2 linked regions of the Arabidopsis thaliana genome follow. The protein of the gene in region 1 interacts with the protein of each later gene in a pairwise test. Each region holds a gene or a part of one and is shown in the gene's direction. Other genes may lie near its edges.

Region 1 (5,005 bases):
TCATCTTCCTCATTTTTCAATACTTCCTGGCCAAATCCAAACACACCAGCTAATTTCTTGAAAAAACCCATCCTAATCCTTACAAATCAAACTCTCCCAAAATAAATCCGTTACTAAAAATACAAACTTTCTCTCCCAGAAGCTACAATTTGCATACTAGTTTCTAGACCAATCCGTCACTAAGAGAAACAAAAAAAAAAATGATCTTTCCTATAAGTTAATCAGACAACAGATACTTATTAGGGTTTATGAAACTGAATCCTTTAGACCCAAGTTCTACTTCATAAACTGAATCCGAATATCTCCACTCTCTCTGCGACGACAATGGAGGAAAGTGGATCAAAGAGAGAATCTTCTTCTTCTTGCTTTTGCTCATTTCTCTACTTTCCAAATCTAACCCTTCTTCTTCTCCATTAACGAGCGGTAAATTCTTATTTACCACAATTACATTTCACTAGTGGGCTACATTAGTGAGAGTTAAGCCCATTAATAAAAGCCCACCTGACCAATAATTATACTTTTGGTCAATTGCTTCCAAGTTCATTAGTTTCCGTAAGTGTTTTCATTTTTCAATGCAACACTCTTATGTGTTGCAGCCTTGCAGCACCAAGTGATAATAGAGATTATGGATCTTTCAGGTGACTTGAATCATATGATAAACTCTAAAGTACTTTAAAAGAAAAACATTCGTTATCTGTCTCGAAATATTTCTATGTTCAGGTACTAATTTTTCACAGCATCTGGTTTTACGTGTCCAGTTTCTTAAGGTACGCGCATGGCGTAAACTGTTGATAACATTTGCTTTTTATTGCTTGTTGGTCTACTAAAGTCAATCACTTTAGTCGCTACCTAGACATAAAAAGTTTAGTACTTTTAGTCTTTTACATTGATTATCATCTCCAACAAAACCGGATACACATCACATATTTTATCCTTTGGATTAAACCGGGATACAAAAAAAAATCTAATCGGTAAATTCCATTTTCTCGTGAACAAGTATGGGAGAAGAGTACATAACCAATTAAAATATACACTTTTGTTCCTTTACACAGATTTTTGTTTTGGATTCTAAAGTTGCATATATTAAATATTTGGTTGCTACATTCTATTCCAACTCCAGTGGGTCTTTATCTATGTGATATAGTAGCATTAAAAATTAGTAACTTGAGTTTGTCAATTAATTTGGAATCTATAGAGAGTATATACAACAGTATTCTGAATTCTGAATGATAGATTTTTCTTAAAAAGATAGGCAATAGAAGGACAAAATAGTCAAAATAAGCTGCTGTCATTTTCAAACTAGTGATTGTTTTTAAGATCTGAAGGATATACTTAAGAAAAAAAATCTGACACATCAAAGTACAAACCCCATCTTTATTATTTTTGCATTTCCCAAACACAGTCAAACCAAAATCTTTAGTTTACATAATAATTTATTTGATATATTATTCTCTTATTAATTCTTGTGCATTTGTTTGCATTTTAGAGATTTTCTAAAAAGACACTGAACTAAAATAACCTCCTAATATTTTATTAAACTTCAATGTCTCATTCCGGTTTGATTTCTCTTCCAATAACCAAACTTGGTTCATTCAATGCAACAATGGAAATTATGTGAAAAACCCCAAAAAAATTGAAAACCATTTATTAAAACAGAACTAGTGTTAAAGGAGAGAACACCAAACCATTTACATTAGATTACAACTAGAAACTATAACTGGACTGAACATCATCATTATTAAAGACACAAACTCTTTATTTCATTCACATTTTAACAAAACCCTAATTATATTATATTTTAAAAGTTAAATTCATCAATATTAAAGAAAACAAAAACAAAACTTAATCTCCTGAAAACTGAAAACCATAAACCAAAGATTTGTTTCCTCAATTTCTTCTTTTATTTATATAATTAAAAATCTTCAAAAACACAAAAAAAAAATAAAAAAATTAGACACTAACTAGATCGTCCCTCGTCTGATGAAAGAACTCAAGAAAGAGAGAGAGAGAGAGAGAGAGAGAGAGAGAGAGAGAGAGAGAGAGAGAGAGAGAGAGAGAGAGAGAGAGAGAGAGTTGTTAGCTAGCTCACACGCTTTCGCTTAAAACTCAAAAACCTGCACTTTCTCGTCTATTTTCTCGGCATTCGTAAAACAGAAAAGTGGGTCTCCAAGAAAATTACCCTAAATTCACAAAGATTCATACTTTTCTCCACCTCCAATGGATTCCAGAGAGATCCACCACCAACAACAGCAACAACAACAACAACAACAGCAGCAGCAGCAACAACAGCAACATCTACAACAACAGCAACAACCACCGCCAGGGATGTTAATGAGTCACCACAATTCCTACAATCGAAACCCTAACGCCGCCGCCGCTGTTTTAATGGGTCACAACACCTCCACATCTCAAGCTATGCATCAAAGATTACCTTTTGGTGGTTCTATGTCACCGCATCAGCCTCAACAACATCAGTATCATCATCCTCAGCCTCAGCAACAGATAGATCAGAAGACTCTTGAATCTCTTGGATTTGATGGATCGCCTTCTTCTGTTGCCGCCACTCAACAACATTCGATGAGATTTGGGATCGACCATCAACAGGTTAAGAAGAAACGAGGTAGACCTAGGAAGTATGCTGCTGATGGTGGTGGTGGTGGTGGTGGTGGTAGTAACATTGCTCTTGGTTTGGCTCCTACTTCGCCTCTTCCTTCTGCTTCTAATTCTTACGGTGGTGGAAATGAAGGAGGTGGTGGTGGTGATAGCGCCGGAGCTAATGCTAACTCTTCCGATCCACCTGCTAAACGGAACAGAGGACGTCCTCCTGGCTCCGGTAAGAAGCAGCTCGATGCTTTAGGTACAGGATCTATCTCTATCTCTCTCTCTCTTTCTCTTATCAAATCAAATTCACTGTTTTACAATTTTACTTAATGGGTTTTGTCCTCTGTGTGTGTGTGTGAGCAGGAGGAACAGGAGGAGTTGGGTTCACGCCTCATGTCATTGAGGTTAAAACAGGAGAGGTAATGTGTTGATGTAGCAAATCTTTAATCTTCAATTTGTTTCTTTGGTTAAAGTTATGATCTTTCATTGTATTCAGGACATAGCTACGAAGATATTGGCGTTTACGAACCAAGGGCCACGCGCAATCTGTATTCTCTCAGCTACAGGAGCTGTAACTAATGTGATGCTTCGTCAAGCTAACAATAGCAATCCTACTGGAACTGTTAAGTATGAGGTATAAAATTACTCATGTGCTTTGTGCATTGCTTGCTTCTTGGCCTCATTTTGAGCTCTGTTGTTATCGAATGGAGCTGGAATTTAAATCTTGTATTGAGCTGTATTGGATGTGTTGTTGTTTCAGGGCCGATTTGAAATCATTTCTCTGTCAGGTTCTTTCTTGAATTCTGAGAGTAATGGTACTGTGACCAAAACTGGTAACTTGAGTGTGTCGCTGGCTGGACACGAAGGCCGGATTGTGGGTGGATGTGTTGATGGAATGCTAGTAGCTGGATCACAAGTCCAGGTTTGTCAAATTCTTAACCTTTACACTTGAGTTAAGATCAGAAAGTATTCAAGATACTGACTTTGATTGGGGTTTTTATATAGGTCATTGTGGGAAGCTTTGTACCAGATGGAAGGAAGCAGAAACAAAGTGCGGGGCGTGCTCAGAATACTCCGGAGCCAGCTTCAGCACCAGCCAATATGTTGAGCTTTGGTGGTGTTGGTGGACCGGGAAGCCCTCGATCTCAAGGACAACAACACTCGAGCGAGTCATCAGAGGAAAACGAAAGTAATTCTCCGTTGCACCGTAGAAGCAACAACAACAACAGCAACAATCATGGGATATTTGGAAACTCTACACCTCAACCGCTTCACCAAATTCCTATGCAGATGTACCAGAATCTCTGGCCTGGCAACAGTCCTCAATAAACAGATGGTTCATGGGTCAAGATTTGACCGGGTTTGCTTCTCTGTTCCTTTTGACACATCTCTCCATCAGATTTATCTCTATAAAGTAGATTGAGCTCTCTTACTCTCTCATCTTCTTCTCCTTTACTATTTCTCTTAAATTTAGCTTTGGTTTTAGATAAATAGAGAGAGAGAGACATGTTAAGTAGGTTTCAAATTCAATCTTGTTTAGTTTGTTTCTTAGTAGTTTCTTTTGATTGTGATGATCATAAAGACTTGTTCTTTTTCTCCTATATTCAACGAATTATCCACTTTAATTCTGATTCTAAACAACGAAATTCTAAACTATACAAAAGCACTTTTATTCTCTTATAATAAGGTTACATTCGTTTTCTTTCACATACATGTTTTCATTACTCTTCAGGTTATTACAACAAAAGTTAGTAAAAAGACAGTGAAATAGACAAAAAAAAGGTTGATACTTGATACATAATCTTAGTCTCCATTACTTCTTCTTCATCTTCGTCGTGTTAGTCTCTAAACTGCAGAAACCATGAGTGGTGATGCAGCCATCCATTCTTCTTCTTCTTCTTCTTCATCATCATCATCATCATCCTCTGCCTCCCACATGAAACGTGCATATGATCCCAAAACCATACTACAAAGTTACAACAACACAAACATTTTAGATTCAAAGTAAAGAAAATTAATTTGGGATTAGTAAAAGTAATCAAAGTATACAAATTATACCAATCATTAGGAGAAGCATTAACAGCTTGATCAAAGTAACCTTGAGCTCTCTTCTCATCTCTCTTCGTTTCCCATATCAATCTTCCATACATGGATAAAGCTTCTCCATCTCCTGGATTCTCCAGTATTGCTCTTCCATAGTACTCTTCAGCTCCCTCTGCATCTTTCTCCACCTGAAGATTCAATCCCAAATCAAAACCTAATCTCCAATTCCCAAAACTCAAATTCAGCTTCTAAAAATCACTAACCTCATACAAAAACTTGCCGTAATTCATCAGAAGAAGCGAATTATTAGGATTAGATCTCAACATCTCTCGATAATAATCACCGATCTTGCTCTTATCTT
Region 2 (4,233 bases), on another chromosome or scaffold:
GTCAGATGCAGAATCGCCGTTTATGGACCTACGCGCTAACCTTCAGCTGCATCGCCGGATTCGTAGTTATCGTCCTTAACCAATTTCAGGATCAGCTTGTCTTCTACCTAACGCCATCAGACGCTATGGAGAAATTCGCAGAGAATCCAACAAAGAACAAATTCAGACTCGGTGGTTTGGTTCTAGAAGGTAGCGTTGCGCAGCCGGCGGCGTCACAGGAGATGGAGTTTGTGATCACTGATCTGATCACTGATATTTTGGTTAGGTATAAAGGATCTTTGCCGGATCTGTTTAGGGAAGGTCATTCAGTTGTGGTTGAAGGATTCATTAAGCCGTATACAGATGAAGTAAGGAAGGAAGTTTCTACAAAACCTATTTCGAAGAAAGCTAGGAACCTCGATTGTTTCTTCTCGGCGACTGAAGTTTTGGCTAAGCATGATGAGAAGTATATGCCACAGGAAGTTGCGGCGGCGATTGAGAAGAATAAGAAAATTATTGAAGCGGCGGCGACTGAACAAGCTGCTGAAGTTGCGGCTTCTTAGATTGGTATAAACTTCATTCTTTTTAAGTTAATCAAAATTTTCCCCAAGTTCGAGCTTTTGGTGAGTATTGTTCATCTTATAAGGTTATATTTGATTATAGTTTCTGGAAAAGAGTAGGAAGATTGGAATGTTATATTCCTGGAAAACAGAGATTTGATTTTTGAGTCTATTTGAGAATTAAGTGGAGAAATGTGATACACTATACAATAGCTTTGTTTGATTCCACAAAGCTATAAGCTAATCTACTTTCTTGTTGTGTTGATCAAATAAAGAACACTTTGACGAGGGATCAAATATGCTGCTTGATTCATTGTGTTGTTGGATGTTTTGTTTGTTGTTGATGTGCACACAGATTAGAGAAGCTATGTTTTGTTGCTGCACACAGATTAGATTGATCTAGTGAATCTTATTAGCTTCATCAGGTCGTGGGTATATAATTGTAAACGTATCACCAAAGTTGTAGCTTGTGTGACCTTATTCTTATCATGACTAGGTACTATAGCCAAAAGAGTTGAACATACAGGTCTTTCAGAGCTTCCTCTTAGTTGTTCTGGAGGTTCCAAGCTCTTTCTTTGTTGTTTTATAAATATGGGTTGAGCTTGTTGACAATCTTGAAGATGGTCATGCATTCCTTTTATGCATCTTATGTTTCAACTAGGCAATTCTGGCCCTGGAGATTTCAAGTTTGTACTTTCTGAGTCGATTAGGTGCCTAGTTTTTGCCTCTAGAATCATGGCATTGGCTTCTGTTTTGGCACTTCTCTTAGGCTTGTTGGTTGATAACCAACTACTAGTCTACTAATGTAGCTGTAGTTTGAAGTGTTCCGCAGTTACGCTATTGCTTTTGCTTTTTTTAAGTGCATCTTTATATATGCATCAGTCTCTCATTGTATAGCAAATTTATCGTGGGTGGTATATGATTCAGTCAACAAAAACTGACTATCAAGTATGGAACGAGTGGTATATGATTGAGTCATCAAAAATACTGACTATCAAGTATGGAACAAGAGCATTACGATATTTGTCACTACTATATTCGATTGCTATTGTGTGCTTGGTCCATTTTGAATATGGGACAAATCACCATTACTATACTTGCTGCCCTATACTAACTAGATTATTCCATATTCCTCGTAGATAGTTTTTGTTTTTTGGTTCAGAGAAAGTTCAGATTTTAGGCCTATAAGTTCTTTTGGTTGGGGACCATATCAAGTTAAATCTCTCACTATATGCATTGTGGCGGTTCGGCCGACCTGTCTAAAATTGGGCTTGTTCAAATCCTGCCTCAAATCCTGCCAAAGCGTGAGTTATATACATATACATTGACACTGAATCATTCCATCCAGGGCCGGTTGGCTGGATCCAAAATCAGTCGTTACCTATTTTTGGCAATCTTAAACTTATTGATTTTTTTTTTCTGACGTTTCACAAATCATCATCATATGTGAAAAACCAAAACATCTATATTAAGAAGAAAAAAAATATTGTTACAATTTCTGAAAATATTTGGTTCATTTAGTCCTTAAAAATTCTAATTACCAAAAAAGACAAATATATAACAATTGAAACACATGTGTGTTATCAGGAGAATTTGTATGTTTTGAGGAGGTGTGCATCATCCGTCTATCAATACCCTGACAAGGAAAACCCTAATTTTTTTTGGCCCAAAGGGTTTTATACTTTAATCTCATACTCCGATTCATTGTCGAAAAACGATGATGCATAATTCAACCGAAGAATCGGAATGGGAGGTGAGACCTGGTGGTATGCTCGTCCAACGAAGAGACGACGCCGCTTCCTCCGACCACAAACCTCTCCAGGATCCCGACTCTGCTTCCGCCGCTTTTGCTCAAACCATCAGAATCACTGTTTCTCATGGCTCATCGCACCACGATCTTCATATTTCTGCTCACGCCACTTTCGGTAACAAAACTCTCAGCTCCGTTTCTGATCCATCGCCTGAAAATTCCAAATAATCGAAGCCTGAGAGAATTTAGCGTGATTCATTATGAAATTTTTCTTGCTCTATTTAGTTTTTGTTGAAGTTGTGTTAGTGTAGTTGAAGATTGATATGTTTAAGCTCGAATGTGATAACTAGGGGATGTGAAGAAAGCTCTTGTTCAGAAAACTGGATTGGAAGCTAGTGAATTGAAGATCTTGTTCAGAGGAGTTGAGAGAGATGATGCTGAACAATTGCAAGCTGCTGGTGTTAAGGATGCGTCTAAGCTTGTTGTTGTTGTTGAGGATACGAATAAGAGAGTGGAACAACAGCCTCCTGTGGTAACTAAAGAGATGGAAAAAGCTATTGCTGCTGTTAACGCGGTTACAGGAGAGGTCGATAAGCTCTCGGATAGAGTGAGTTTTTATAAGCCTGTATTTCTTTTGGAGATGACGGAAGGATTGTGCTTAAGCTAGTTTTTTTTGGTAATTAGGTTGTTGCTTTAGAAGTTGCTGTGAATGGAGGGACGCAAGTTGCGGTGCGGGAGTTTGACATGGCTGCAGAGCTTCTTATGAGGCAGCTGCTCAAATTGGATGGCATTGAGGCTGAAGGGGACGCTAAAGTACAGCGTAAGGCTGAGGTTAGTTTTCTTGCTTTGTTAAGCATGTTTACACGGTAAGAGTGTTAATAGAGTTGGAAGATATATGAGTTGTGGTTTGTGTTGGCAGGTACGTAGAATCCAAAACTTGCAGGAGGCTGTGGATAAGTTGAAGGCAAGATGTTCAAATCCGTTTGTGGATCAGAGCAAAGCTGCAGCTGTAAGCACTGAGTGGGAATCGTTCGGAAACGGTGTCGGAAGCTTGAACCCTCCTCCGCCAGCTTCGCCTTCGGCCAATGTAACTCAAGATTGGGAGAAATTTGACTGACATTTTAGTACTGCTACGTTGCCTTGGAAAAAAATGCTTATTGAAACTGTTTATCTTTTTGATTATTGTTAAATATTGGAAAACGACCATCGTCTTTATCTTCTAATGTATAGATATATTATATATAGTATCGGAAATCTACATCTCTGTACGTTATGTTGGAATAATCCCTGGGAATAGTCTTTGATGTCTCTCAGTCTCTGTCGTGCCTAATTGGCTTATGTCGTAGTACTAAAGATTATGGCTACGAGTTTTGGAGACACTTTTGCATATGTGTTTCCATGTTCTAGTAATCGGGAGCTCAAGTTCAATTTGATGATAGCGATAGTGTTGCAAAAATGATTTATGTTTACTGTTACATGTTTCAATCCTTATAAACTACAGCTTCGAGGGAAGATTGCCTCAAACTGAGAAGTACACACTACAAGCCAAATAATGCAAAGTTAAGGTTAGTTTCATTTCAAGAGTACGATCCGTGCTTTTTGGATAAAAAATACATTCTTACCCAAAAACTAGAAGACATTCTTAGCTGTCTCACCCACATGACCATACGTTTCATTCTCAATTATATGTTCCATGGAATTATATTTAATCTATATAATAACATTCTTGTGCCATCACATAAACTAATAATCCACTCAGCAGTGATTAGACTTAATCATAGCTTAGCAGAGATTTAATTACGATTACTTCCTTAACCATTTATTTATATAACAAAAAAAATTAACAGTAAAACGTGTTGACATGACTTCGCCGTTCAATGTGGGTGGCAAAAGCCATTTGCCGGCTATCTAACAGCACATATTATTATTTATTATTTTCTCGAC

The links.
Region 2: the proteins of AT4G17950 (region 1) and BAG4 interact in a two-hybrid assay, tested with the Arabidopsis thaliana proteins (one large-scale study listed by BioGRID).

Annotation. Positions count from the first base shown.
Region 1 is NC_003075.7:9,966,220-9,971,224, reverse strand, and holds AT4G17950 (AT hook motif DNA-binding family protein), read left to right. Parts: upstream 1-1,992; 5' UTR 1,993-2,217; coding exon 2,218-2,857; intron 2,858-2,964; coding exon 2,965-3,020; intron 3,021-3,097; coding exon 3,098-3,235; intron 3,236-3,361; coding exon 3,362-3,523; intron 3,524-3,606; coding exon 3,607-3,930; 3' UTR 3,931-4,446; downstream 4,447-5,005. Other genes in the region: AT4G17960 (phospholipid hydroperoxide glutathione peroxidase), read right to left, coding at 1-71; AT4G17940 (Tetratricopeptide repeat (TPR)-like superfamily protein), read right to left, coding at 4,447-4,567, 4,660-4,832, 4,908-5,005. UniProt on the Arabidopsis thaliana protein: Transcription factor that specifically binds AT-rich DNA sequences related to the nuclear matrix attachment regions (MARs).
Region 2 is NC_003074.8:19,206,202-19,210,434, reverse strand, and holds BAG4 (BCL-2-associated athanogene 4), read left to right. Parts: upstream 1-1,786; 5' UTR 1,787-2,256; coding exon 2,257-2,464; intron 2,465-2,639; coding exon 2,640-2,896; intron 2,897-2,973; coding exon 2,974-3,120; intron 3,121-3,208; coding exon 3,209-3,406; 3' UTR 3,407-3,667; downstream 3,668-4,233. Other genes in the region: G1 (transmembrane protein G1P-related 1), read left to right, coding at 1-542. UniProt on the Arabidopsis thaliana protein: Co-chaperone that regulates diverse cellular pathways, such as programmed cell death and stress responses.